Oryctolagus cuniculus: one gene and its partners. The main gene of each other region encodes a partner of the protein of the gene in region 5 in a complex. Links are inferred from orthologs where the notes say so. Each region holds a gene or a part of one and is shown on either strand. Other genes may lie near its edges. The genes, in order: ITGAV, NRROS, ITGB6, ITGB8, TGFB1, TGFBR2 and TGFBR1.

What was found.
Region 1: the proteins of TGFB1 (region 5) and ITGAV are in contact, whole or in part, in a crystal structure (PDB 5FFO), measured with the Homo sapiens proteins. The link is inferred for Oryctolagus cuniculus from reciprocal best matches to the Homo sapiens genes TGFB1 and ITGAV. Residues at the interface, in NP_000651.3 of Homo sapiens: Gly242, Arg243, Arg244, Gly245; in NP_002201.2 of Homo sapiens: Asp178, Asp180, Phe207, Tyr208, Gln210, Ala245, Asp248.
Region 2: the proteins of TGFB1 (region 5) and NRROS are in contact, whole or in part, in a cryo-EM structure (PDB 7Y1R), measured with the Homo sapiens proteins. The link is inferred for Oryctolagus cuniculus from reciprocal best matches to the Homo sapiens genes TGFB1 and NRROS. Residues at the interface, in NP_000651.3 of Homo sapiens: Leu30, Ser31, Thr32, Cys33, Thr35; in NP_940967.1 of Homo sapiens: Phe194, Glu195, Ile196, Glu197, Gly198, Gly199, Phe201, Leu210, Leu212, Pro218, Cys219, Ile220, Val221, Asp222, Phe223, Gly224, Leu225.
Region 3: the proteins of TGFB1 (region 5) and ITGB6 are in contact, whole or in part, in a crystal structure (PDB 5FFO), measured with the Homo sapiens proteins. The link is inferred for Oryctolagus cuniculus from reciprocal best matches to the Homo sapiens genes TGFB1 and ITGB6. Residues at the interface, in NP_000651.3 of Homo sapiens: Pro70, Gly71, Pro72, Glu75, Leu158, Asn237, Gly245, Asp246, Leu247, Thr249, Ile250, His251, Met253, Asn254; in NP_000879.2 of Homo sapiens: Ser142, Ala143, Ser144, Asp146, Asp147, Pro196, Cys197, Ser199, Ile200, Pro201, Tyr202, Lys228, Lys231, Ile232, Ser233, Ala234, Asn235, Ile236, Asp237, Thr238, Glu240.
Region 4: the proteins of TGFB1 (region 5) and ITGB8 are in contact, whole or in part, in a cryo-EM structure (PDB 7Y1T), measured with the Homo sapiens proteins. The link is inferred for Oryctolagus cuniculus from reciprocal best matches to the Homo sapiens genes TGFB1 and ITGB8. Residues at the interface, in NP_000651.3 of Homo sapiens: His117, Thr241, Arg243, Arg244, Gly245, Asp246, Leu247, Thr249, Ile250, His251, Gly252, Met253; in NP_002205.1 of Homo sapiens: Ser156, Ala157, Ser158, His160, Asn161, Asp213, Tyr214, Asn215, Leu216, Gly248, Asn249, Ile250, Asp251, Thr252, Glu254, Gln286.
Region 6: the proteins of TGFB1 (region 5) and TGFBR2 are in contact, whole or in part, in a cryo-EM structure (PDB 9FKP), measured with the Homo sapiens proteins. The link is inferred for Oryctolagus cuniculus from reciprocal best matches to the Homo sapiens genes TGFB1 and TGFBR2. Residues at the interface, in NP_000651.3 of Homo sapiens: Arg303, Lys309, Trp310, His312, Tyr368, Tyr369, Val370, Gly371, Arg372, Lys373; in NP_003233.4 of Homo sapiens: Phe47, Leu50, Phe53, Asp55, Ser72, Ile73, Thr74, Ser75, Ile76, Cys77, Glu78, Val100, Asp141, Glu142.
Region 7: the proteins of TGFB1 (region 5) and TGFBR1 are in contact, whole or in part, in a crystal structure (PDB 3KFD), measured with the Homo sapiens proteins. The link is inferred for Oryctolagus cuniculus from reciprocal best matches to the Homo sapiens genes TGFB1 and TGFBR1. Residues at the interface, in NP_000651.3 of Homo sapiens: Ala279, Leu280, Asp281, Asn283, Tyr284, Tyr328, Ile329, Trp330, Gln335, Lys338; in NP_004603.1 of Homo sapiens: His39, Leu40, Thr42, Lys43, Phe55, Asn68, Met70, Ile78, Phe84, Val85.

Annotation. Positions count from the first base shown.
Region 1 is NC_091434.1:53,699,071-53,702,570, reverse strand, and holds part of ITGAV (integrin alpha-V), read left to right. Parts: intron 1-3,006; coding exon 3,007-3,059; intron 3,060-3,452; coding exon 3,453-3,500.
Region 2 is NC_091435.1:83,139,592-83,143,576, reverse strand, and holds the start of NRROS (transforming growth factor beta activator LRRC33), read right to left. Parts: upstream 2,801-3,985; 5' UTR 2,662-2,800; intron 1-2,661. UniProt on the Homo sapiens protein: Key regulator of transforming growth factor beta-1 (TGFB1) specifically required for microglia function in the nervous system.
Region 3 is NC_091434.1:81,824,706-81,828,205, forward strand, and holds part of ITGB6 (integrin beta-6), read left to right. Parts: intron 1-1,054; coding exon 1,055-1,186; intron 1,187-1,394; coding exon 1,395-1,812; intron 1,813-3,500. UniProt on the Homo sapiens protein: Integrin alpha-V:beta-6 (ITGAV:ITGB6) is a receptor for fibronectin and cytotactin. It recognizes the sequence R-G-D in its ligands. Internalization of integrin alpha-V/beta-6 via clathrin-mediated endocytosis promotes carcinoma cell invasion.
Region 4 is NC_091447.1:12,475,257-12,478,756, forward strand, and holds part of ITGB8 (integrin beta-8), read left to right. Parts: intron 1-2,143; coding exon 2,144-2,307; intron 2,308-2,400; coding exon 2,401-2,523; 3' UTR 2,524-3,500. UniProt on the Homo sapiens protein: Integrin alpha-V:beta-8 (ITGAV:ITGB8) is a receptor for fibronectin. It recognizes the sequence R-G-D in its ligands.
Region 5 is NC_091449.1:13,277,410-13,281,549, forward strand, and holds the start of TGFB1 (transforming growth factor beta-1 proprotein), read left to right. Parts: upstream 1-1,340; 5' UTR 1,341-2,267; coding exon 2,268-2,628; intron 2,629-4,140. Other genes in the region: B9D2 (B9 domain-containing protein 2), read left to right, coding at 358-671. UniProt on the Homo sapiens protein: Transforming growth factor beta-1 proprotein: Precursor of the Latency-associated peptide (LAP) and Transforming growth factor beta-1 (TGF-beta-1) chains, which constitute the regulatory and active subunit of TGF-beta-1, respectively.
Region 6 is NC_091435.1:167,303,405-167,306,904, forward strand, and holds part of TGFBR2 (TGF-beta receptor type-2), read left to right. Parts: intron 1-2,886; coding exon 2,887-3,014; intron 3,015-3,500. UniProt on the Homo sapiens protein: Transmembrane serine/threonine kinase forming with the TGF-beta type I serine/threonine kinase receptor, TGFBR1, the non-promiscuous receptor for the TGF-beta cytokines TGFB1, TGFB2 and TGFB3.
Region 7 is NC_091432.1:202,804,750-202,808,249, forward strand, and holds part of TGFBR1 (TGF-beta receptor type-1), read left to right. Parts: intron 1-1,563; coding exon 1,564-1,688; intron 1,689-2,660; coding exon 2,661-2,791; intron 2,792-3,500. UniProt on the Homo sapiens protein: Transmembrane serine/threonine kinase forming with the TGF-beta type II serine/threonine kinase receptor, TGFBR2, the non-promiscuous receptor for the TGF-beta cytokines TGFB1, TGFB2 and TGFB3.

The DNA of each region.
Region 1 (3,500 bases), on a different chromosome or scaffold from region 5:
GACCTGACACCATCAAATTATTAGAGAGCATTGGAAAAACCTTGTAAGATATAGGTACCGGCAATGACTTCTTGGAAAACACCCCAGAAGCACAGGCAGTCAAAGCCAAAATTAACATTTGGGATTGCATCAAATTGAGAAGTTTCTGAACTGCAAAAGAAACAGTCAGGAAAGTGAAGAGACAACCGACAGAATGGGAAAATATATTTGCAAACTATGCAACTGATAAAGGGTTGATAACCAGAATCTACAAAGAGATCAAGAAATTCCACAACATCAAAACAAACAACCCACTTAAGAGATGGGCCAAGGACCTCAGTAGACATTTTTCAAAAGAGGAAATCCAAATGGCCAACAGACACATGAAAAAATGTTCAAGATCACTAGCAATCAGGGAAATGCAAATCAAAACCACAATGAGGTTTCACCTCACCCTGGTTAGAATGGCTCACATTCAGAAATCTACCAACAATAGATGCTGGCGAGGATGTGGGGAAAAAGGGACACTAACCCACTGTTGGTGGGAATGCAAATTGGTTAAGCCACTATGGAAGTCAGTCTGGAGATTCCTCAGAAACCTGAAGATAACCCTACCATACAACCCAGCCATCCCACTCCTTGGAATTTACCCAAAGGAAACGAAATTGGCAAACAAACAAGCTGTCTGCACATAAATGTTTATTGCAGCTCAATTCGCAATAGCTAAGACCTGGAACCAACCCAAATGCCCATCAACGTAGACTGGATAAAGAAATTATGGGACATGTGCTCTATAGAATACTATACAGCAGTCAAAAACAACGAAACCCTGTCATTTGCAACAAGATGGAGGATTTGGAAAATAACCATTGTATCATATGTGTGTATTATGTATAGGAGGGTCTTCAAAAAGTTCATGGAACAATGCATGTTATCCTTTAATTTCATTTTTCACAGTTTTTAAAGTACTTGCATATATATTATAAATAAACTTTGCTGGTATTATGTGAAGTAAGACATTTTAGAGTTAAAGAGTAGTACTTTTAAGTACTATATATCATGTTCAACACAGGTATTTTTTAATCTGTAATGTATAAGAGTACTTCAAAAAGTTTGTGGAAAACTGAAATTAAAGGATAAATTTATTTTGGTACAAAATAATTTAGAAATGCATGCATAGTTTTATCACAATACATATTTTTCCATAGCTTTTTGAAGACTCCTTGCATGTCTCAGAGAATTAAATAATGATAATCACAAAGGAAAATTAAACAGTCAGTGTAGGAAAAATACCTCACGGTTTGCAGATTTGGTATTCAAGCCCATTTCTTGTCAGTAGAGATTGTTGGGCTTTGAGAGGATCCATAGTATGGGGACCAGCTTCAGGATTGTTGCTCCACATGAAGTAATGCATAATCCACAGGCAATTGGGATTGCTGGAGGCATGGTTATCCTTTTGTGCTGTTTCATTTCTATCCAGTGTCCATGGTTGTGTCTGGATCCTGTTGCAAGTGGGCGGTGATGCTTGCTTTGTGAGCTGTTTCCAAAACATTGCTGAAAAACACCTATTGTGAAAAAGCTGTGCATGGGTTCCCATTATGTTTTGAACCAAAATGAACTTACTTTTTAACTCATTGTTTTTCATAAACTCTTTGAAGTTTCCTTATTTTCATCTTCAGCTATCGTTGGGGAAGTGCAAGGCTTAGATGAGGACAGACCTGGGCTCTGTGCTGTTTATTATTGCTTTGGACAAAGTGTTTGCCACTATGATTCTGATTCCTCATTGGTAAACATAGGGATGCTGCTAACGTTCTCATGGGGTAGCCGTGAGGATCCATCATGGTGCTCAGGACAGAAGTTGTTCTCAGTAAATGCCATACTTTCTTTACCCTTTCAGGACAAACACTCTGACAGAATAAGGTTCAAGAATATTATTTTGGCATATTGTAGTCAGCACATCAACATGGTACCCCAAACATAGTACACTTCAGTACACAAATTCTGATCTTATCATTGAATAGCGAATGTGTGTTTTGTTTTCTCAACTACACTGTATCAAGCCAAAATAGATAAGGTAGGAATCTCCCTTATCATCCCCTCTGAATATATATTCAACTAATCAAGATTCAGAAGCATCCCTATTCCTAAAGTTGTACCTATGAAATTTGCATTCATTGAATTAAAGCTTAAAAAAAAAAAAAGAAGCATCCGTAACTTTCCTTCTTTGCTTTGCTGACTCATTCACTCATTTGTTGACTCACCTTAGTTTATCTTTAGTCTGTCATCTCTTCTAGCTTTGTTTTGCCTGTTGGGCTCTCTTTAGAACTTCCTTTTCTCCCATTCCCACCCCCACTCCTGCCCCCAGCTGTCTGTGGTAGCCAGTGGTCTCCTGTGGTGGAGGAGAGGAAATTTCTTCTCCCTGTGCATAATAACTTCATAATAAATCCAAACATATTTGTAGTGTGTGTGTAATTAAGAAACAAAGCCATCTGGCAAATAATTGATTGAGATGTGAGACAAGAATGAACTCCTGTTTGTGTCTTTCCAAACAATAACTTCTAAAGAATAGTTGTTTCACAAAGGGAGAGCCAGTTATTTTCTGTTATCAATAATTATTAACTATTGTCCTTTCTGAATAGGCATCCACTTATAACTTCTTGGGTCCAATTAAAATGTTTGTGACTGTGTCTTTCTGTTAGTATGCCTGTGTGTGCCTTTTGTCAGGGAATGGGGAGAAAGGGAGCGATTGTTAGGCATAGGAAGGAGAGTTGATTATACTTGGAATACAAGTAAATGGAATTTAAACATTGAAATGTTATACCTAGAATGTATTTTACTTGCAAATTAGCAAGCCTCATTACCTGATTGTTGTGGTGTTGCTAGAATAAACAAAAGAGAAGACTTTTAAATTGAAGCACTGTATATAGAAAAAAATAACCATTTCTATTTGCTAGATATATTGTAATTGTTAATTGCCTAAAGTATTTGGATGAAATATAAACATTTCATTTTCATCTTGTTATCCAGATGGCTGCATATTTTGGATTTTCTGTAGCTGCCACTGACATTAATGGAGATGAGTAAGTTTTAAAAAATTTTTCCAGAAACAGTTTTGCTCTCATGTTTGTGAATTATTTACTAAAACTAAGCAGTTTTGCTTTTGTTTCTCTGTTCCCTTTCTGCTAATCTATTTAAGGAAGCAATTTGAAGCAACCTGACACAAACATGGAAAACCTCTGTTGGTCATATTTTTTTAATAGTTTTTATAGCATGAAAATTTTATGGTTTCATAATTTCTTAAAAGAGTTAAAAGAAGCTTTGAATTTGAAATGGCTACTATGGTCATCGTTTTGTGCTTCCATGTACCTGTGAGAGATGTGGAAAAGGGGAAACTGAGTTTTAATAAGAAAGAAAATGTGTATTAATAACAGATGGAATTTGATCTTGCTTTGGTGAGGAGTTCTGTCTCTCAGTTATGCAGACGTGTTTATTGGAGCACCTCTCTTCATGGATCGAGGCTC
Region 2 (3,985 bases), on a different chromosome or scaffold from region 5:
AGCCCGTGTCTCAGCTGCCTGGTCCTCTCTCAGACCTCCCAGCGCCCCCACCATGACCCAGCCACCATGCAGGTAACCCTGACCCAGCAGGGGTCCCCTGCTGACCGCCAGTGCCTGTGCCATGCTGCATTTGACATTACAAACGAACGGCGCCCCTGAGTGTCTCAAGGTCGTCTCTGGGGTTGAGATAAAACGAGGGCCTCCTACTGTGCCACAAGGCCTACAGGAGCTCCCTTTAGCTATCTGTGTGTCTGTGTGTGTGTGTGTGTGTGTGTGTGTCTGTCTGTCTGTCTGTCTGCCTCTTGAGTAAACAATTTTTTTTAAATCATCACCTTAACTAACTGAGTGCCTCACAAATTGAGTACACACATTTATTCAAGGATGAAATTGAGAACAATGGTTTGGGGAAGAAAATGAATATAAAAAATGATACCAATGGGGCCAGTGCTGTGGCATAGCAGGTAAAGCTGCCGCCTGCAGTGCCAGCATGCCATATGGGTGCTGGTTCGAGTCCCAGCTGCTCTACTTCCGATCCAGCTCTCCAGTCTGGCCTGAGAAAGCAGTGGAAGATGGCCCAAGTCCTTGGGCCCCTGCACCTGTGGGAGACCCAGAGGAAGCTCTGGCTTCCGGCTTTGGATCAGTGCAACTCAGGCCATTGCAGCCATCTAGGGAGTGAACCAGCAGATGGAAGACCTCTCTCTCTCTCTCTCTGCCTCTGACTCTCTGTAACTCTGCCTTTCAAATAAATAAATAAATCTTTTATATAAAAAAAAGATACCAAAAGTAAAAGCCAAAACCAAAGAGACTGTAACCAGTTGTCAGTGATGCGCACTGAGCACCAGTGAGCAGGCACCTGTAAGCGTCTCACCCACAAGCTCAGCCTGAGCAGGCTGGGAAGCTGAGCCTCCCTAACTCAACGGACCCGAGTATTGGGTGAGGCACGTGGAGCTGCCCGTGCAAGAGGGTCGCCTCTGCTTTGTGATGCAGGTGCCCACTGCAGCCAGCGTGCAGGGCACCGCCAGTACGAGCACTGTTCTTTGCAGAGTCAGGACCAGAGACAGCCCAGCGCACTGCTAACCCATACGCCAGAAGCCAGACACGGCCAGCCTGCTCTCTGTTTAGGAAGCTCCTGCACTTGGATGACAGGCTTCGGGAGGCTCGGGCTCAAGTGCACAGGGGTCTTCACCAAGTTCCCAGGAGGGGACCCATTTGATGAAAGCACTTTTCTTGGCAAAGCTGTGTTTTTGTTTATTTGAAAGCCATAAAGAAACAGAGAGGGAGATCATCCATATGCCGGTTCATTCCCCAAATGCCTGCAACAGGTGGAGCTGGGTCCTCCAGTCAGGAGCCTGAAACCCCACCTGGGTCTGCCACGGCCAAGTATTCGAGCCAGCACCTGCTCCTCCCAGGACACACATTAACAGGAAGCTGGGATCGGAAAGAACTGAACCCAGGTCCTCTGAGGTAGGATATGGGCGTCCTGAGAGGCAGCCTCACCTCGGTGCCAAACACTTGAGCCTGGAGTTTTGGGTTTAACTTACAGACGGGAGTTGGGATTTTTTTTCCTGGGCCCACAATCCTGGAGTCCCAGGAGCTCAGGGTTTCATGTACGGATCTGTGGGCTGTGTGAGGAAGATAAGCACGCCTCAGAACCACAACGCCAAGGAAACCACCAGCATCCCTGGCCACAGGGGTGCGTCTCAGCCTCAGCAGGGAAGGAAGGAGGAGCACAGGGAATCGGGGAGGGTCAGCTGCGCACACTCTACTGCACAGTCCTCCTGCGTCCCACCCCCACCACAGGTGCCTTCCTCCCTCGCTGTGTCCTAGGCCCCATTCCTGCCACCAGCCTCAGCCTCCTGCAGGGCCAGCCACCATCAGCCAGGCACGTGTCCACCTCCTCTGGGGGCAAAGTGGAGCTGCCAGCCCCCTCCGAGGCAGCAGAGGGCAGCAGGAGCCACGTCTGTGCATCCTTACATCTCCTGGGTCCATGGGGGATGTATGTCGCCCCTACACAACCCAGCCTGCACCCAGAGGCCAGGAGGGCCACAGAAGAGCACTGGACAAGGAGTCGGAAGGGCTGAGTTCTAGTCCCCCTTTGACACTTACTAGCTGGGGTCCCAAGGAACAGAGCCTGCTGAATCCCAGCACGCCCCCCCCCCCCCCACACAAATGCTCTGTGGGGGAGGGGTTCTGCCAACAGTCACAGCGGCATCCCCAGGGCCTGGCACGTGGAGGATATTGGTGGGTAAGGGTGGTGTCAGGAGGGTCTCATCTGTGAACTGGTGACCCTCCATACAGGTGCGGGGTAGGGCTAGGAAGGGAGAGCCAAGCCGTCGCTTGTTCCCACTTTGCAGATGAGAAAACTGAGGTTCAGAAACGTTTTCTGACCTGCTCACCTTCTCCCCCCCCCCCCCCCAGACCACGAATCAAAGTCACGACTGATGCTGAGGCCCCGACTGTTGCCACTGCACCACCCCACCTTTCTAGCCCTAAGCGCTCCTACAGGGAGTTGTTCCCACCCAAGCCAGCGGGGCCAAGCTGGGACAGAGCGAGCCGCAACTTCCCGCTTGGCTCCGTGCTGTCGGCCAGGGCGCCAACCTCCCACTGCCCAGCCTCCCGGCGCGCCCACCTCCCGGAGGCCCCCGCGCGGGAAATACTCACGGCTCCCGCAGGCCCAGGCGGCTCCGCGGGGCGCATCCTCTCCAGGGGCTCCCGCCTCCTCGAGAGCAGCCAAACGCGGGGCTGGGTTGCCTCCTCTCTGGGGCATCGGATTATTTTAGCACTTGCGGAAGGAACGGACGGAAACTGAAGTCACATGGAGCTCGAGCTGCAGCTCAACGACTCAGCAGCGCTCAGCGTCCCCAGGAGGGAACTGCCCCCTGCGGCGTGGGGGCTGGGACTCGCCCTTGCAGCACCTGCCCAGCCCGCCAAGGAGCCCCCAGCAGACTAAGCGGGCTCCCCGAGGGTTCTTGTCTTGGTTGTTCTTAGGGGATGCCCCTGGGGGCCCTTGCCTTCTAGGGCTGTCTGCCTGGAAATGCATTTCCCAAATTATGTCCAAAGAGCGTGTTGAGGCAGATTTGGGAAGTGGGCAGCTCAGGGATCTTCCAGTTATAGAAGGGGAGAGTCCTTCCCCTTCAGCCCAGTCTTTTTTTTTTTTTTTTTTTTTTTTTAAGATTTATTTTATTTATTTGAAAGAGTTACAAAGAAAGGTAGAGACAGAGAAAGAGAGGTCCTCCATCCACTGGTTCACTCCCCAGACGGCCGCGACAGCCAGAGCTGTGCCGATCTGAAGCCAGGAGCCAGGAGCTTCTTTCAAGTCTCCCACGTGGGTGCAGGGGACCAAGGACTTGGGCCATCTTGCTCTGCTTTCCCAGGCCACAGCAGAGAGCTGGATCGGAAGAGGAGCAGCCAGGACTCGATCCGGCGCCCATGTGGGATACCAGCGCTTCAGGCAAGGGTGTTAACCCACGGAGCCACAGCCCCGGCCCCTCAGCCCAGTCTTTAATAATGGTCTCCTTTTATGGGCCCAGTGCCAAGCTATGAAAAAAAAGGAAAAGAAAAATGAATGAAAGAAAGGAAGGGGAGTTGCGTTGTTCTGGGCGTTGGAGAGTGCCCCGAGCTTCCTGATCATCGGCTGCATGAATGGGTGGGCTTTTAAAACATTTTTATTTGTACTGTTTATCTTTTTAGAGAGAGAGCGCGCACACTCCCATCCACTGGTTCACTCTCCAATTATCTTCTATGGCCAAAACGGTGCCGGCAGAAGCTGGGAGCTGACACAATCCATGCCTTCTGGCGTGGATCCAGTTGCTTGAACCAACACCTACTACCTCCCAGGGTGCACGTTAGCAGGAAGCTGGAATCAGGAACCAGAATTGGGTGTGGAACCCAAGTACTCTAACATGGGGTGGGAGCGAGAGTGGGAGGGGGAAAGGGTGACTTCCAGGCTAAATGCCCACTCTGTTCTGTTTTGTTTTTTTCTTTT
Region 3 (3,500 bases), on a different chromosome or scaffold from region 5:
CATGCCAACAGCATTTTCAAAACTTTTTGAATGAATTGAAATATAACTTAATATTATTCTAACTTATTTTTTATATTAATTTGGTTGTGTCCCCCTAAAATATACTTTTATTTTGTAAGTGAACAAAGGAGAGTAAAAAGTAAGATGATCAGCTTTTTTTTTTTTTTTTTTCCTGAGGGAAGAAATCCGGTCTTATTATTTCCCCAGAACTGACTCTAAACTAAATGAACAAAAGGTACTAAATACATTCCAACAGCTTCCACCCACATTTCGACATCTGTAGAACTAGGATCCAGCTTGGAGTTAGCAGTGCCTCACAAGCACCGTCTGCCAGGTGGCAGGCATGATGGAGCTTTCTTTGACAATGTGATTGTCGTCACTTCCATTTGTTGAACACGTGTTAAGTTTAATGGATTCAAAAAGTGTCTGCCACAATTCTATATTCAAATGAAAAGTGATGTATGCAGAAATGTCCCGACACAGAGCAGCAGGGTGTTAATTTGATACCAGTGAGGAGATATTCACTGTTGAAGGAATTACTGCCATTCTGCAGTCCTTCCAAAGCAACAGCCAGCTGTGTTATGGGACCCAAGAAATGGTAATACTTACAAGTAAAGTAAGATGTTTTATTTATCACTGAGATATAAGCAAAAAAAAAAAAAAAAAAAAAACTGCCTTTTATATGCCAAGCCGTGCAACTCAGGGGAGGAGAATTTGCCAAATCCCTCAAAATGGATAAAATAATTTTCAAAGCTAAATTGTTTTAGACTGATGGGTATATTTCATATATTGTGCAGAACTGTCTCCAGGTATCTGTCATAATTTAATTGTCATAAAATAATAGCAAATCTTATAATTGATGGCATCTTCGATTTGATAAAATATGAAATATATTGATTGCTCACTTTCTTGCTTGAGTAATGACATGATGAATTTATTTCAGACCCTATTTAATTTTATTCATTTTTAGTTTAATGAAGATGATTCACAGTTCCTTCTTCTGGCTGTATGTTATGGTTGTGACTTCATCTAACTCTCTGTGCCTTAACTAAAGGAACTTCGGTCAGAAGTGGAACTGGAAGTATTAGGAGACACGGAAGGACTCAACTTGTCATTCACAGCCATCTGTAACAGCACCCTCTTCCCACACCAAAAGAAATGCTCGCACATGAAGGTCGGAGACACAGTAAGTAGAGAGCCCAAAGACCTGAAATAAATAGGCCAGGGGGTGAGAACTTGGCAGAGCTCACTGAAGCTTTGTATTCTTTCAAGGCTTTAAAAGATCTAAGGAGCATCTCTTTTACAAAGCTGATGGATGCAAAGCTTGCAGCCTGGTTTCACCTCTTGTCTGCTGGTGGCTGGAGGAAGCAGATCGTTCCTATGTTCTCTCACAGGCTTCCTTCAACGTGACCGTGAGCGTAGCCAACTGCGAGAAGAGAAGCCAGCACATTGTCATAAAGCCCGTGGGCCTGGGAGACACCCTGGAAATCCTCATCAGTCCCCAGTGCAGCTGTGACTGTCAGCAAGAAGTGGAAGTAAACAGCTCCAAATGCCACGATGGCAACGGCTCCTTCCAGTGTGGAGTGTGTGCCTGCCACCCAGGCCACATGGGTCCTCGCTGCGAGTGTGGCGAGGACATGCTGAGCACGGACTCCTGCAGAGAGGCCCCCGGGCAGCCCTCGTGCAGCGGCAGGGGTGACTGCTACTGCGGGCAGTGCGTCTGCCACTTGTCTCCCTATGGAAACATTTACGGGCCGTTCTGTCAGTGTGACAATTTCTCCTGCGTGAGACACAAAGGACTGCTCTGTGGAGGTAGGCTATACCACGTCTCACTCTATATCAGGCAGGGGCTTGGCGTCCTTCGCTCTGTCTGCAGTTTCCTGGGCATAGCAGGTGCTCAGGAAACATTTGTTTATCAATTGAGTGACTTCATGTTTAGGCTGAGGTTACTGAATCTTGCTTTGTTGTTGTTGTTTTCCTAACTCTAACATTTACCTGGGGTAAAATCTCAATCAACTGAATTTATATTTCTATTATAATTTCCCTAAAAGTAAGTAAAAGATGGCAGTGTCTTCTCCCTAGCCATCCCCCCAAACCTTGAAGAAATGCCTGTAATCTTAACTCCATTACCTTCTAGACCTCTCTGGATCAAGCCGCTGAATGCCCCAATTCTTAAATGCCTATTACTTTGGAAAAATAAAAAGCTAGATCACTAAACAGGTAATGCTGCCAAGGTCAAGGAGCACAGAATTACGCAGTGGACTTTGAAGGCCTTCATTCACTGCAGAGATATTTACTAAGCACCTGCCAAGTGACAGACACCAGGCTAGGGGTGTAAGAAAGATGGGTGAGGACAAGTGGAAAGCAGCCAATGGAAAGCATGAAATGAAAAGCTACCTGGAATTTCTGGAGAAATTTGAAAAACTTAAAAATAGGAATATTTATGTTTTAATAGTCTCTGTACAGGTAAAGTCACTGTAGTTTAAGAATACACAAGCAAAGCTCAAAAAGTTCATAGAAATGCTAAATTAAAAGAATTTAAGGGGCAACAAATTTTTAGTTTTTTCATAATACACATTTTCCATTAACTTTCTGAGGCACTCTCATATTACATATAACATGATGTATAATCATTCTGGTATGTAGAAATATATATTTAAGTATAACCTTTCAGGCAATTATTATGTGTATGTGAATATACTTTTTAAAATTTATTTATTTGAAAGGCAGAATTACAGAGAGGCAGAGGCAGAGAGAGAAAGAGAAAGAGAGAGAGAGAGAGAGAGGTCTTCTATCTGCTGGTCCTCTCCCCATATGGCCGCAATGGCCGGAGCTGCACCAATCCGAAGCCAAGAGCCAGGAGCTTCTTCCTGGTTTCCCACATGGTTGCAGGGGCCCAAGGACTTGGGCCATCCTCTACTGCTTTCCCAGGCCATAGCAGAGAGCTGGATCAGAAGGGGAGCAGCCAAGACTCAAACTGGTGCCTATATGGGATGCCAGCACTGCAGGTGGCGGCTGTGCCCGCTAGGCCACAGCACAGGCCCCAATATACTTTTAAATGATAGAAATTTGTGCTACAATGGCAATAATAACTGCCAAATCTAAGCTGTAGTATCTCTGTTTTTCAGTCCGAAAGCAAACAGATCTTCAAAACCAGAAAGCCATTATCTTTATAGAAAAACTCAGCGGGTCGTGTTTTCAAGCCAGCATCAAGAATATAGAAAAGAGTCTAATTTTCAGAAAAGAAAGACATGAGAGAACGAAGCGTCAAAGAACTGCACGCCTTCTGAGCGCCAGTTGATGCCATTTCACTTCCTCACTACCGCTGTGGCTGTGCGAAAGTGTAGGCTCTTCTGAGCAAAATCTGCCTTTTCCTCCCTTACTGACTGAAACATTTAGGATCTGGCCCACTTGAGACCACTCCTCTTCCCTCTCACTCAGAGGTTTACTTGCTGATTTATGGAGTGTATTTCCAAACCCATATCAGTTCTCTTCCCACC
Region 4 (3,500 bases), on a different chromosome or scaffold from region 5:
AATTAGAATAAACCTTGAAATCGTGTCCTCACTGGAAACATTCCGATTGCATCTACTATTTCAGGGCTGCCCCCACCACCAGCACCACCATGCCAGTAAGAAAAAGTGCAGCTCTTGCAGAGATGGAACACAGAAGCAAACTTTCACTAGAGCTTTCTCTCCCTTTTGCTTTGCAACCACACTGGTCTTAGCCCGTAATGGATTTGGCTCTGAACAGAACCCATGTGCTGCCAGCTGGGGCTACAGCAATCACTCCAGAAAGCCAAGTGCCTTTTCTAATAAAAGGGCCCTCGCTATCAACATGTCATTTATAATGTTCAGTAAACACTCCTGATTTAGCTGTTGTTACCATAAAAAAAATTGCCTAAAACTTCTTAGGAAAAGCCCCGGCCTGACCAAAACTAAGAAAAGCATGGGTCAGAGGAAAATGTTTGACCACCCCTAGCAACGGTTGAAAAGGTAGCGGATTTGCACCCTGAAAATGTCTTCTACCCTACCCTGTTAGAAACGTCCCTAAAATGTGTCAGCTGCGAGGGAGATCCCCTCCTCGTCACAACTCTTGTGCAAGGAGTGGGGAAAAGGCTTCTGTTAGGCACCTCTGAGATCCGTCCGCTCAATCACACTTAAAGAGTGTTCTTTCGGTCTCTCTGGCTAAGCTCCTACCGGGCAGGAGGCCAGAGAGGGGAATCCAGCCACGTGCCCCCTCTGAGCATCTGCTTGGCTGGGTGACTGGTCTGGAATCAGCCAAGGCAAATGACAAAATGCATCCTGCGCGTCGTGACCCCGCAAGTCACTGCGGAAGACTCCAGGGCACCATTTTGAGAGCGCCTTGGAGTCCACCCCGACATGGCTGGAGACGTGCTCTGGTATTTAGGGTTTCCGTTCCAGTAGGAGCCCTGGGGCCTCTGCCTTTGTCCATTCTTTCAAGTTAACTGATTGCCGACCAGAAGGAAGGCTCCTCTGCCTTCCCAGCTGGAGAGAGCACCCCTTGCCTCTCATCACCGAGCTCTTGGTGGATCCAAGAGCCCCACGTGCTGGTCCCTGGGAGTTCTAACTCAGATCACCTATAAACTGGGGATGTGCTACCCCAGGCCTTGGCCAGTCGCCTCCCTGGAGACCCTTCACGTTCAAGGGCTCCTCCCCATGCCTGGAGAATGGGCAGAGGCACAAATGCCTCTTTAGCCAGGAAGTCACTTTCTGAATCTGGGACAGCTGTTGAGTTCCCTGGAATACTTGTCTATTGTGCAACCATGTTCCCCTCCGATTAGAGTAATACCACTGGCAGCAACCAAGCCTGTCCGCTTTCCAAGGACGCTGTGCCAAAGGCCTGGTGCTGAAGCAGAGATCTAGCGTGCTCTTCACACTGCTGCTTTTTTCCCCTCCAACTGGAAATTATCTGTCCTTGAAAAAAAATAGGGTGGAAATTTTAGTAGAAAATGGAGTAGATTTAGCTAACAGACGAGTAAAAAAAGAAATTAATAAAATTGAGGAAGAGATTTGAGTGTGTCCCAAACTGGACACTCCCATTTCCTGGAGAAGCCATGTGTAATAATAATGAAAACCTACACTGCAACTTCAGAGGAAATATTTGTTCATCTAGTACCGATTTTAGATTCTGTAGATGTTTACTTAATTTTCCATTACTGGTGTGCAACAAAATAATAAGGGAAACATATGCTCATGCCCAGAGCTGTTAGATAATTGTTTAAAATCCTATTTTCCACTTAGTGATCAACAGTAAACACTACAAAAAGTGTCCTTTTCTCTGTCATGGATAAAATTATGTTTGGTTAAGGGATTTGGACACATTCCAGTTAATACAATTAAAGCATCAAGCTGCAAAAAAAAATGTTATTGAATCCCATTAGCATGGATATTCCCCTAAGGGAGGCTCCCATTAGCATGGATATTCCCCTAAGGGAGGCTATCTATTGAAAATATTTTTATAAGAAATATGCAATAAAATTAGAGAGAATACTTTTTTGAGCCAGCAATCATGTCATGTGAATCCCCTATTTTAAAAATATAGGTTTGCAAATATCTCTGGTCCTATTCATTGAGCTCTCAGCATAAGTTGCTTGGTACCATCCTCTGATCTCCTCATACTGATTTTTAATCCATTTATTTGTTTACTTTATTACAGAGTGTTTCTCTAGCCCAAGCTACTTGAGGATTTTTTTCATCATATTCATAGTCACGTTCTTGATTGGGTTGCTTAAAATCCTGATCATTAGACAAGTGATACTACAATGGAATAGCAGTAAAATCAAGTCCTCCTCAGATTACAGAGTGTCAGCCTCAAAAAAGGTCAGTGAATTAAAAAAAAAATGCTGCCAGTAATTATTGTCTAGCTACATTATTTAGGCCCTTAACTAACAACAATATTTCTTCTCCGTCAAGGATAAGCTGATTCTGCAGAGTGTTTGCACAAGAGCAGTGACCTACCGACGTGAGAAACCTGAAGAGATAAAATTGGATATCAGTAAATTAAATGCTCATGAAACTTTCAGGTGCAACTTCTAAGAAAAAAAGATTTAAAAAAATACTTTGTGGGAAACTGATTTTTCAATAACTGCTCCTAAAAAAGGATAGTTCTAAAAGTCACAGGAGGAGACAGATTGTTCCAGATTGTGCCAGTTGCTGGATGGATTCGAGTGAAGACTGCCAAGCATCCTCATCGTCATGTGACTCACATAGCTGCTGAATTTTTCAGAGAAAAATGTCTTACTACTGTTTGAGACTAGTGTCATTGTAGCACTTTACTGTAATATATAACTTATTTAGATCAACCTAGAATGTAGATCATCTGAAGAGCACTGATTACACTTTACAGGTACCTTCCATTCCTATGCTTCCCAGAGAGAGAGAGACAACGCTGTGAGAGAGTTGCATTGTGCCACCACAAGGGTACAGTGATCCCTGCATTGACCATGCAGACGAAAAATATCATCTGGTAGTTACACCGGATGTTTTAGGCCAATTTTGCCCAACACTTCAACTGTTGGCAATGAGTAGACAAGAACAACTAGATGAATAAATGGTTAGTGTCTCATTTATTCAAGAGGTGAACATATGAAAGCTTAATATTAAGGGATATTGCTTCTGAAACTGTATAGTTTAATGCATGTGTGTTGATCTTTTCTTTTTTTCAAGATGGTTGCAAATTCTAACACTCTCTCCTCTTTCTCTTTGTAGTTTGTTTTTCTCCCCTGCAGGATAAGTTTATATGTCACAAATGACTGGACTGAATAAGTGCTAAGTTACTACTGCATACAGAACTAATAATACAATGTCACTTTATTAGAATACTGGTTTTAAAGGCTGAATGTTAATGAGAAACACTGTAAACTGTTGTCCAAACCGGAATAGCTTCATTGTTTGCAGACCTAGTGTTTTGATTTCTTCTTCACCTGGTAAACTGGATGGATTGTTCAACCCTTTCATTTGTGTAGTCATTAAGGTAAATTCTGCAAGCCATTTAGAAAGTTTGCCTCAAGCAA
Region 5 (4,140 bases):
GTGCTCACCTAGAACTGGAGGAGCAGTGGGCTGCCCCTCCACGGGGCACGTAGGAGGCAGCCACACAGAGGGAAGCCAGCCCGTGTCGGATCTGGAACGTTGAGGAGGTTGGACTTTATACCGTGGGCACCCCGGAACAGTGGAAGGGTTTTGAGCAGAGAAGTAAGAGATGTAGAAAGACCCCTTTAACTGCTGCATGGACATGGATCAGAGATGGGGTTCAGAGAGGGGGCTGAGGCAGAACCCCAGGGAGCAAAGTGTCTGGCCTACGGTCTCCAGTGGGTGTCCGGGAGGGGCGATCTAGAAGCAGGAGTCTGGGCCCAACGCACCTTCCTTTCCCCTCCTCCTTTCCTCCAGGTTGGCCCCGGCTCCATCTCCAGGTGTGGTCCCAGGATGGCTTTGGCCGCTGCCAGCTTGAAGGCTATGGCTTTTGCCATGTGCCCAGCAGCCCCGGGACCCACCAGCTGCAGTGCCCCACGTGGCGGCCCCTGGGCAGCTGGCGGGAGCAGCTGGCGCGGGTCTTTGTGGGCGGTGGGCCGCAGCTGCTGCACGGGGACACCATCTACAGCGGGGCTGACCGCTACCGCCTGCACACAGCCGCGGGTGGCACTGTGCACCTGGAGCTTGGCCTGCTGCTGCGCCACTTCGACCGCTACGGTGTTGAGTGCTGAGGCTCTGCCCGAGCTGTCACCGGCATCCACACCCCTGCGCGGCCAGCGAGGGTCAGGATGGCGCGGAGGTCAGCATCGGGGGCCCCAGAGACTTGTCTGCAGCCAAGGCATGGGACGACTTCGGTCCTTGCCAGGACCTCCAGGCCTGTAACTGCCCCTTGCTGCCCAGTTTCTGTCTCTGTAAAATGGGGCAGGAAGGATGCCAGCACCCGGGGGTTGGGTGAGAAGGGGCTACTTAGCACCCGGGCAGGGTTCAATAAAGGTGGGTGCAACTTATAGGTACCAGTGCCTTCGTGACCCCCTTCTTGTGCCCCCCTCACCTGCTGCCCTCTTTCCTCGGGCCCCCATCCTGTGCCCTAGCCCCTCACCCTTCCAGTTCTGAGACACCCCTCGCCCTAGTCCCCCCCTCCCAGTGTCCCCTCCCTGCCAGGTCTCTCACCGCGCATGGCCCCACTGTGATGGTGCATCTCAGGCACCGCTTTGGTAGCACTCAGCCGCCAGGAGGCAGCACCCCTTTCCCGTTCGCGGGGCGGAGCCGGGTGCCCGCCCCCCCAGGGCAGAAGGGACCCCCCTCGGAGCCCGCCCACTCGAGATCAGGACGGTGGCCCGCCCGTCCGCTCGCCCGCCCTGCCCCCTGGAGGCTTCCCCCGCCCCACGCGCTTCCTGGGTGGGGCCGGGGCGGCTTCAAAACCCCCCGCCGCCCTGGCCGGTCCCCGCCGACGCCGCCCTTCGCGCCCCGGTCCGTCCCCCTCCCTCCTCCCGCCGCGGATCCGCCAGACAGCGAGGCCCCCGACCGGGGGCAGGGGGGACGCCCCCTCCGGGGCACCCCCCCGGCTCGGAGCTGCCCGCGGGCAGAGCCTGGGCCCCGAGCGCAGCTGAGCGGAGGAAGGAGCCGCCGAGGAGCAGCCCGAGGCCACAGTCTGAGAAGAGCCGCCCCCGCCGCCGCCGCCGCCGCCGCCGCCGCCGCCGCCGCCGCCACTGCGGGGAGGAGGGGGAGGAGGAGCGGGAGGAGGGACGAGCTGGTTGGGAGAAGAGGAAAAAAGTTTTGAGACTTTTCCGCTGCGGCTGGGAGCCGGAGGCTCGGGGACCGCTTGGCGCGGCGCTGGCCCAGGGGGAGGCAGGACTTGGGGACCCCAGGCCGCCCCTTTCCTCACCGCCTCGGACGCTTGCTCCCTCGCTGCCTCCTACACAGCGACCCCCGTTCCGGACCAGCCCTCCGAGCCTCGGACCCTTTCTCCCGCGAAGGCTTTGCCCCAGCCTCAGGCTCACCTTCTGCCCGTCTCCTGAACCCCGAGCATCCTAGGACCTTCCCTCCTCTGGGGACGGGTCTCAGCCCTGCTCCAGCTCCCCTACTCAAGACCACCCACCTTCTGGTAGTAGAACTCGCCTGTCTCCGTTTCTTTCGTGGGATACCGAGACACCCTGGCCACAGCCTCCCCTCCACCCCTGCTTCTGTCTTCCTGAGGGCCTCAACTTTTCCCTGAGACCCTCCTCCCTTACCCCGGGAGACCCTCAGCCCCTTCAGGGGCGGGGCCTCCCCATCCCACCCCAGCCCTGTTCGCGCTCTCGGCAGTGCCGGGGTGCGCCGCCTCCCCCATGCCGCCCTCCGGGCTACGGCTGCTTCTGCCGCTGCTGCTGCTGCCGCTGCTGTGGCTCCTAGTGTTGACGCCCGGCCGGCCGGCCGCGGGACTGTCCACCTGCAAGACCATCGACATGGAGCTGGTGAAGCGGAAGCGCATCGAGGCCATCCGCGGCCAGATCCTGTCCAAACTGCGGCTCGCCAGTCCCCCGAGCCAGGGGGAGGTGCCGCCCGGTCCGCTTCCCGAGGCCGTGCTCGCCCTGTACAACAGCACCCGCGACCGGGTGGCCGGGGAGAGCGCCGAGCCGGAGCCGGAGCCCGAGGCCGACTACTACGCCAAGGAGGTCACCCGCGTGCTAATGGTGGACAGCAACAACAGTGAGCTCCGAGGGACGGGGACCCGGGAGGGGGCCCCCAGGGGGCGCCGGAGCGCAGGGGTCAGGGAGGAAATTACCCGCGGAGGACACAGCGGGAGGAAGGGGACCCCTGGGTGCACAGGGAACGTGGGGGAGGGCGTGTCCTAAAGACGAGGGCGCTGAGCTCCCCGACCCTCAGGGACTGGTCCTGGAACAGTGCGCCAAGTGCACGGGACCCGCGGGGGCGAGGGAGGTCCCGGGGGACACAGGCAATGGGGTAGAAGCCGTTCCCTCCGCAGGGCCCGTGGAATGCGGGGGTCGCGGGGTGGGAGCTGCAGAGAGGGGTGCTCTGTGGGTAGAGGCTGAGCCCCTAGTTTGTGGGTAAGGGAGCCAATGAGAAAGCTGGGCAGAATTGGGGGTCACGAAACAGAAAGACGGAAGGAGCAAAAGCGAACAGCAGCAAAGTGCCAGGAGCGTGGACCTGCTTCCAGGGCGCACAGGACACGCAGGACTGCAGGGGTCGTGGCAAAGAGGCGGTGGTCTGCGTGACGGGTGCGGGCATGGGACGCGAGGCCGGCGGTGGGAGGAGGAGGCTGACGGGAGAGGAGCGGAGACCCGGAGCGCGTGCCCAGGGTGCGTGCAGAGGGTCGCGCGTGCTTGCAGCCGGAGTGAAGGCACAGAGCAGGGAATCCCAGGAACCAGGACTCCTGAGTCGGGGAAGGGGCTTCCGGAGAGGGGAGGGGCGTGGGAAAGGTGTGTTGGGATGGGGCAGAGGGGAGGTGGCGGTGCTCTGGGCGCTGAGCCGCGAAACCCGCTCGCTGTGGGATGGGAGGGGCCGGACGAGGAGTGGAGCGGTTGGGGGGAGGTCTGGGCGGGGGCGCCCGTGCGAGGCCCAGGTGAAAAAAGTGAGCAGGTGGGGGTGAGGCTGCCCCACATGGGTGCCACGCGCGGCGGGGAGGAGCTCGCTTTTCCCGAAGAGGAAGGAGGACCCCGCAGGGCTGAAGGCCGGCACTGCGGACCCCGGAGTTGCAGTTCCTCCGGGGAGGCTGGGGAAACCCCAGCGTCCGGCCGCCACCCCTCCTCCCTTCCCTTTCCTTCCCGTGGCCCGGGGGCGGGGATCGCGCGCGGAGCCTGGGGCGAGACGAGGCAGGTCTGTCTCCGCCCTCGCGGCAGCGGCGCGTCCCGCCCCTCTCCCCCCAGCTGTGGGAGGGGTGCCTGTGGGCCCGCCCCGTCGGCGCCCACGCGGGGACCCAGGCTGCCTCGTGGCCTGGGGACTTGGGGTGAATCCCCAGGTTTCACTTTATGTCCTGTGCGGTGGGCTTGGGGGTCCCTGGCTCGCGCCCGCGCCTGATGTGCAGCTGTAGTCCAAAGGCGCCCCTTCCCCACCCACTGGTCCATCTGGCCTCGCTTCCGCTTTCTCCTTCGCCCGCGGTGTGAATTAGTTCACTGAGTTTCTCCTGAGGAGGCCACGTCCTCTTCCCTAAACTCGCGTGTCTCCGCGGGTGTGTCCATCGTGGCCCTCCTATTCCTGTGT
Region 6 (3,500 bases), on a different chromosome or scaffold from region 5:
TTTTGCCAAAGTGGACTGAGCCTTCTTCAGCCGCTAGCTGCCTGGAGCCCTGGGAGGAAGCCAGAGTAGCAAAAGCCTTGGCCAGCGCCTCACTGATTGTCCCCAGCACTGCTCCCGACCCGAGACTCTTCAGTTCCAGTACATGAGTTCTCCCCTCAGAAGGACCCTGGGTACCCATCAGGCTGGGAGGCTTCCTGTCCTCTAACCTCCTCTGTCAGGGTTCAGGCCTCCACCTTGAACCCTGGGCCATGCCCTTCTGTTGCTGCAAAGCAAATATGTAGAAGAACCAAGGCCGTCAGAGGGAACGGCCTCCATCATAACATCTGTCGTGGTCATCGTCCAGGTCCTCATGGGGCCCTGAGAATGACCTGGACTACATAGTCACAAAAGGAAAAACAAGCACCACTGTGCAACAGCCACAACCCAGTGGCAAAGCTGCTGACCGAACGGCAAAGGCACACACACAGGTGGGCGTTAGGTGCTCTTGCTGCACATTATGGGGCATGAGAAAAAAGAAAATAGTGGTGGGTGTAGGCTATGCAAAATTCAAGAGAAGGACAAAAAAGAAAAATTGCAAAAATCCATGGTAAAAATAAAAAGTCAACATGTATTTAGTTGCTTTGGAAGCTATATAAATAGAGATTCCCTAGGGGTTGAAGAGAGGTCAGCTTAAAACCTGCACACACTTCCCAACCCCACCCCACGCCTGGTCTGAAAGACAGCCTCCCTGCCGGGGTGGCGCCTGCCCGCTGGGCTCCGACGCTGCTGCCTCCAGACTTGTCTGTCTGACATTTGGAAGGAGGAGGGAGATCCATTGGTCTCCCTGGTGTGCCCTTCCCACTGTCCTTGACCTCTCTTCCCTGTGGAAACTCCCGCAAGTCAAAGATGGGAGGCAGCCCTGGGACCCCTGGGGACGGTAGGGGAATCTCACAACTTCCCAGGATTTTATGAAAGTAGGAAGTGGCCCGGCTACCAATCTCTTTGCTCTGGAAAAAGATCCCTGAGTTTGTCTTTTCTCTCACCGGAGCAGTCACTGCTTTGTCTTTCAACAACAGTATACCCTGGGCTGTCCTCTCCCATGCTCCATGGAAACTTGCTATGGTTCATGGAGAACTTACAAAATTAAAATAAGTGCTGGGCTTATGTCAAGTTGAAGATTAGGACTTGAAATGAGGGAAACTGGCCCCTAGGTACAATTTGAGTTGTGTGTCCTATGTGAGATTCATTGTGGGGTTGACTCTGATCTTGGTATTGTCTTTCCTTGCCATTGGTCATATCCTCCCCCTCTCTTCTTTAAGATCTCTTTATTTATTTGAAAGAGTTACAGAGAGGGAGAAAGATCGTGCATCCTCTGGTTCAATCCCCAAATGGTCACAACAACCAGGACCGGGCCAGGCTCAAGCCAGGAGCCAGGAACTCCATCTGGGTCTTCCCCATGGGTGGCTGGGGCCCCAGGACTTGGACCACCTTTGCTGCTTTCCCAGGTGCGTTAGCAGGGAGTGGCATTGCAGGCAGAGCAGCTGGGACTCCACCTGCACTCTGATGCTGGGTGCCATCCCTGGGTGCTTGTCCAGCTTAAGACTTGCAGCGTCTCAAGAAAGGACTTCCTCCTGTGGCTTTGTGACCAGAGTGGGTGGACCTGGGAAGAAGGAGAAGGCACCTTCTTGGCAGCTGTCTTGGAACCTGGCACAGTGATCTTGGTGCAATGATTCATTGAGGAAGAACTCGCAGGAGAGGGCAGGGAGGAAGGTCAGCGGACTCGAGTTTTGGGAGAGGTCTCCCCTCGGCCTGGTCTCACGGGCAGCGCTGGCCAGGAATTGCACCAGAATCGCTCCACCAAGAGGATTTGTCTGTTATTGGCTGCTCCTGGGATAAGGCCGACACGGCCAGGAATCTCTAGGACAGGCAGTTCCCATCAGCCAAGGGCAGTCCCCCCAGGAAAGGTGAAGGTGTGTGTCCTTTTGACCCAATGCCCGCAGCAGCTGGGGCCTGGTGCTCTTGGCTGGTGCTCTGTCTAAGGGACCATTTATATCACATGTAAACCCTCTTCTATCCTAGTGTATTATAGCACACATTCCTCAAGGCATACCACTATCGCATTATTGGATTAAATTGGATTACAAGATAAATCTGGGGTTGGGGGGTTGACAGGAGGGTCACGCAGGGTCACATCATGCATTTTATACCTGGGAAGTAGGTCAGAGTAAACCCGGACTGGGAGCCAGCTCGCATTCCCAGTTTTCTACTTTTGCTTGGATTGCAACCAACTCCTGTCTATGGAATGCCCACTACGTATAAGGCACAGTCTGGGCACTGAGCAAGGAACTGAAAGACACAAACCTCAGCCACTGCCTTGGGCCTTGGGAATTTATAGTTCGGCTGAAGATGGGGATGGAAGGGGGTGGGGATGAAGGTGACACAGAAGTGTTACGCAGATCGAAATTCCACTCTCCAGGGCTAGCACTGTGGCACAGCAGGTTAAGCTGCCATCTGCAGTGCCAGCATCCCATGGTGGTGCTAGTTAGAGTCCCAGCTGCTCCACTTCCAATCGAGCTCCCTGCTAATGCACCTGGGAAAGCAGCAGAAGATGGCCTGGGTCTTTGGGCCTCTGCACCCACATGGAAGTCCCAAAAAAGCTCCTGGTTCCTGGCTTCAGCCTGGCCCGGCCCTGGCCATTGGGGCCATTGAGGAAGTGAAAAACCAACTCTTACCCAAGAGTTGTATGGACTAGATGCTCGTGCACAAGAAGGCAAAAGCGCACACCCTTCAGGACGGTCCTTGCTCTGTCCTGGGGTGCACATGCTGCCTTGTCACCTTTCCCCACACACGTGTCTCCTGCAGCTGCATGTCCTGTTCTCAGTGGCCCTGTGTTTGCTGTCTTCACAGAGGTCAAAGATTACGAGCCTCCGTTTGGTTCCAAGGTGCGGGAGCACCCCTGTGTGGAGAGCATGAAAGACAATGTGCTGCGAGATCGAGGTCGACCAGAAATCCCCAGCTTCTGGCTTAACCACCAGGTAAGGCGTGACTGCTGGGGCGGGATCTGGTGTTCCTGGCTAGGTCAAGGGGACGCTAGAGGAGCACCCAGCACAGCTGCTGCTGCAGCCAAAGTGGTTGGAAATAAATGGAGGGGCAGCGGCTGGTGCAGTGTCTAAGCAGTGACTGACGTCACATACATACCCTGTCCTATGTTATACAGTAACACAGCATGCTCACCAGCCCCTTAGGTGGGAGAGAATTCTGGGAGATGGGACTTAAATCTCGGGGTGGGTCCCTGTGTGTTCCGGGACCGGAGAAGGTTCTGTTTATAAAGAAAACCAATAAAGTGGATGACCCTGGTATTTACTCTAAGTTCCAGCAAGCAGGGGAGTAGGCAGCACCCAAGGAGGGCTCATCAGTATCCGTCGGAAGGTTGTTTGTCACATTTTGTAAACAAGGACCCTTGGTTCTAGAGCGAAAATGTTTCTGTTTGCAGCCAGGGCCATTCCCTCCCCGGTCTTTCC
Region 7 (3,500 bases), on a different chromosome or scaffold from region 5:
CTAGTCCCGGCTATTCCTCTTCCAATCCAGCTTTCTGCTATGGCCTGGGAAAGCAGTAGAAGATAGCCCAAGTCCTTGGGCCCCTATACCCACATGGGAGACTGGGAAGAAGCTCCTGGCTCCTGGCTTCAGATTGGCGTAGCTCCAGCTGTTGCGGCCTTTTGAGGAGTGAACCAACAGAAGGAAGACCTTTCTCTCTGTCTCTCCCTCTCCTCTCACTCTCTGTAACTCTAACTTTCAAATAAATAAATCTTAAAAACAATTATTATTTAGAAGAGGGATTGGGGCTGGTGCTGTGGCACAGTAGGTTAAAATCTTTAAAAAGTTGGTTTAAAATCTTAAAAAAAAAAAAAGATTATTATTTAGAAGAGTGACTGGGGCTGGCTCCCTGGCACAGTTGGTGCCTCTACCTGTGGCACCAACTTCCCATATGGGCACTGGTTCTAGTCCCGGCTGCTCCTCTTCCAATCCAGCTCTCTGCTATGGCCTGGGAAAGCAGTAGAAGATGGCCCAAGTCCTTAGGCCCCTGCACCCACATGGGAGACCAGGAAGAAGCTCCTGGCTCCTGGCTCCAAATTGGCGCAGCTCTGACCGTTGCGGCCATTTGGGGAGTGAACCAACAGAAGGAATACCTTTCTCTCTGTCTCTTTCTCTCACTGTCTGTGGCTCTACCTCTCAAATAAATAAATACTTTGAGGAAAAAAAAAAAGTGACTGAAAGAGAAAGATTTTCCATCCACTGGTTCATTCCTCAAATGGCTACAGCAGCCAGGGCTGAGCTAGGCAGAAGCCAAGAGCCAGGAAATTTATCTGAGTCTCCATTTCAGTGGCAGAAGCCCAAATATTTGTATTTTTTTAAAAAAAGATTTATTTATTTATTTGAAAGTCAGAGTCACAGAGAGGCAGAGGCAGAGACAGAGAGAGAGGTCTTCCATCTGCTGGTTTACTCCCCATATGGCCACAGTGGCCGGAGCTAGGCCATTTAGAAGCCAGGCACTTCTTCCGGGTCTCTCATGCAGGTGCAAAGACATAAGGACTTGGGCCATCTTCCACTGCTTTCCCAGGCCATAGCAGAGAGTTAGATCAGAAGTGGAGCAGCCAGGACTCAAATCAGCGCCCATATGGGATGCCGGCACTGCAGGCAGTGGCTTTACCCACTGAGCCACAGAGCTGGCCTCCCCAAGTACTTATATTATCATCTGCCTCCCAGATACATTAGCAGGAAACTGGTTGGATTGGAAACAGAGGTGGGGATTCAGTCCCAGGCACTCTGATGTGGGTACAGGTATCCAAGTGGCAGCTTACCTGCTGTGCTACACACCTGCTCTGTAGTTGTTAGATGGGCAGACAGTGTGAAACTGCTGTTTCAGCATTTCATGGGATTTAATTGGCATCATCAATTTACACATCAGTTTGTGTATTGAATTTTTTTAGTCTAATCTCTCAACTATGTAATACTCTGTATATGCCTATGTATGTTCTGTGTGGAGAAATAAAGTTTATGGAACAGTTAAAAATAATGTGGCCGCCATTCAGTAAAATAAAACATTGACTTCTTTTTTAGGTACATGGCTCCTGAAGTTCTAGATGATTCCATAAATATGAAGCATTTTGAATCCTTCAAACGTGCTGACATCTATGCAATGGGCTTAGTATTCTGGGAAATTGCTCGACGATGTTCCATTGGTGGTAAATTGCTCTCTTCTTTCCCAGCAGTTTGTCATGAGCAGAACTTGTTGAAGAATTACATTCTTTCCTATTGAATTATATATAATGTGTCTACAGTCTGAAACAGGTGATCACTGAGAGTGCCAGAGAAAACAAAGGGGGAATGACATGACATACAGATTGTACAGCTTTATTTTAGTGAATTCTTTTCCTGTTTCCATTTGAATCTTGGCAAGCATCAGAAGCCGATTCCTTGTTACACTGGGATAGACTTATGTGTCACAGACCGCTGGTTGAGAGGCTGGCTAGGAAGTTATTTTAACATGTACCTGGATGATACATTTTTTTCCCTTGAGATTGTGGTTATTTTCTCCAACTTGATAGCTGTAGACTACATATACAGAAAACAGTGACATCATCATTCCATCCCGTGACTTTCAGTACATTTGTTCTGACTTTTAAGTTTCGTTTCAGATTGAGCACTTTGTAGTATTTACCGAGAAGCAGTCTGTTAGACTTGGAGCCCAGGATTGATCGAGAGCTATAGACTCAGGTTTTTGAGGCAGCGAGGGACAGAGGCTCTGTATAGTGGCAAATAGGACTTGTAGTTGACAGTTGCATGCCGACAAAGGGACTGGCACTCTGTAGGATTCACATCCTCAGCTGAGCACACATGTGTACTGAATGAGAGGCTAGAATAGAAAATCTCATTTGCTGCACAGTAGCCTTCTAGGCGAAAATGGCAATCTGGTTATCACAGCTCATAGTTAACCATCATTGAAAAAAGCCCGTGCTGATCTCATGGCAGTGTTGAGTTTCATGATGTGAGCCCAGAACAGACGGGCAGGGGCGGAGCTTGTTGATGCAGATGTGGAGCAGAGAAAGCTGTGAGTCCTGGGCACTGTAATAGGCCCTTTGGGTGATCCTTTTAATGGTTTGGCATTAGCTGAATAAATTTTTCAAAATAGTTTGTATTTTTTTTAACCAATCTAGGAATTCATGAGGATTACCAGCTGCCTTATTATGATCTTGTACCTTCTGATCCATCAGTTGAAGAAATGAGAAAAGTTGTTTGTGAACAGAAGTTAAGGCCAAATATTCCAAACAGATGGCAGAGCTGTGAAGTGAGTATTTCTTTTTGATACTAGGCAAATTTCTGAACTGCATTTGCTTAGTTGCAAAGTGAAAATTAGCTACTTTTTCTTAAGGAAAATGGACAAGAATTCTCTTTTTTCTTTCCTTTTCATAGCACTTTATGCAGTAGATAAAAATGAAGCAATTTGCTTTCCACAACACACTGAAAGGGCCCTGGAGCACTTGCAGTGGCCATTAGTGAGTCCAAGGTTGTTTAGGTCCGCCCAGTGAGCTTAGGCATCGGCCTTGTCAGTCACTGTTTCCCTTCAGCCAGACAAGCCCAGAGTGATGTGGTAAGTGCTGGACAGGGAATAGGACGTTTGCAGCCTGAGCACCCGCTGCATGCACAGGCTTTATTTTTGTTTATTTTGTTTTTTAAAGATTTATTTATTTATTTGAAAGAGTTAATACAGAGAGAGAAGGAGAGGCAGAGAGAGAGAGAGGTCGGTCTTCCATCTGCTAGTTCACTGTTCAACTGGCCACAATGGCCAGAGCTGCACAGATCTGAAGCCAGGAGCTTCTTCTGGGTCTACCATGTGGGTGCAGGGGCCCAAGGACTTAGGCCGTCTTGTACAGCTTTCCCAGGCCATAGCAGAGAGCTGGATCAGAAATGGAGCAGCCAGGACTTGCACCGGCACCCATATGGGATGCAGGCATGCAGGCAGCGGCTTTACCCACTGTACCACAGTGCCGGCTCCG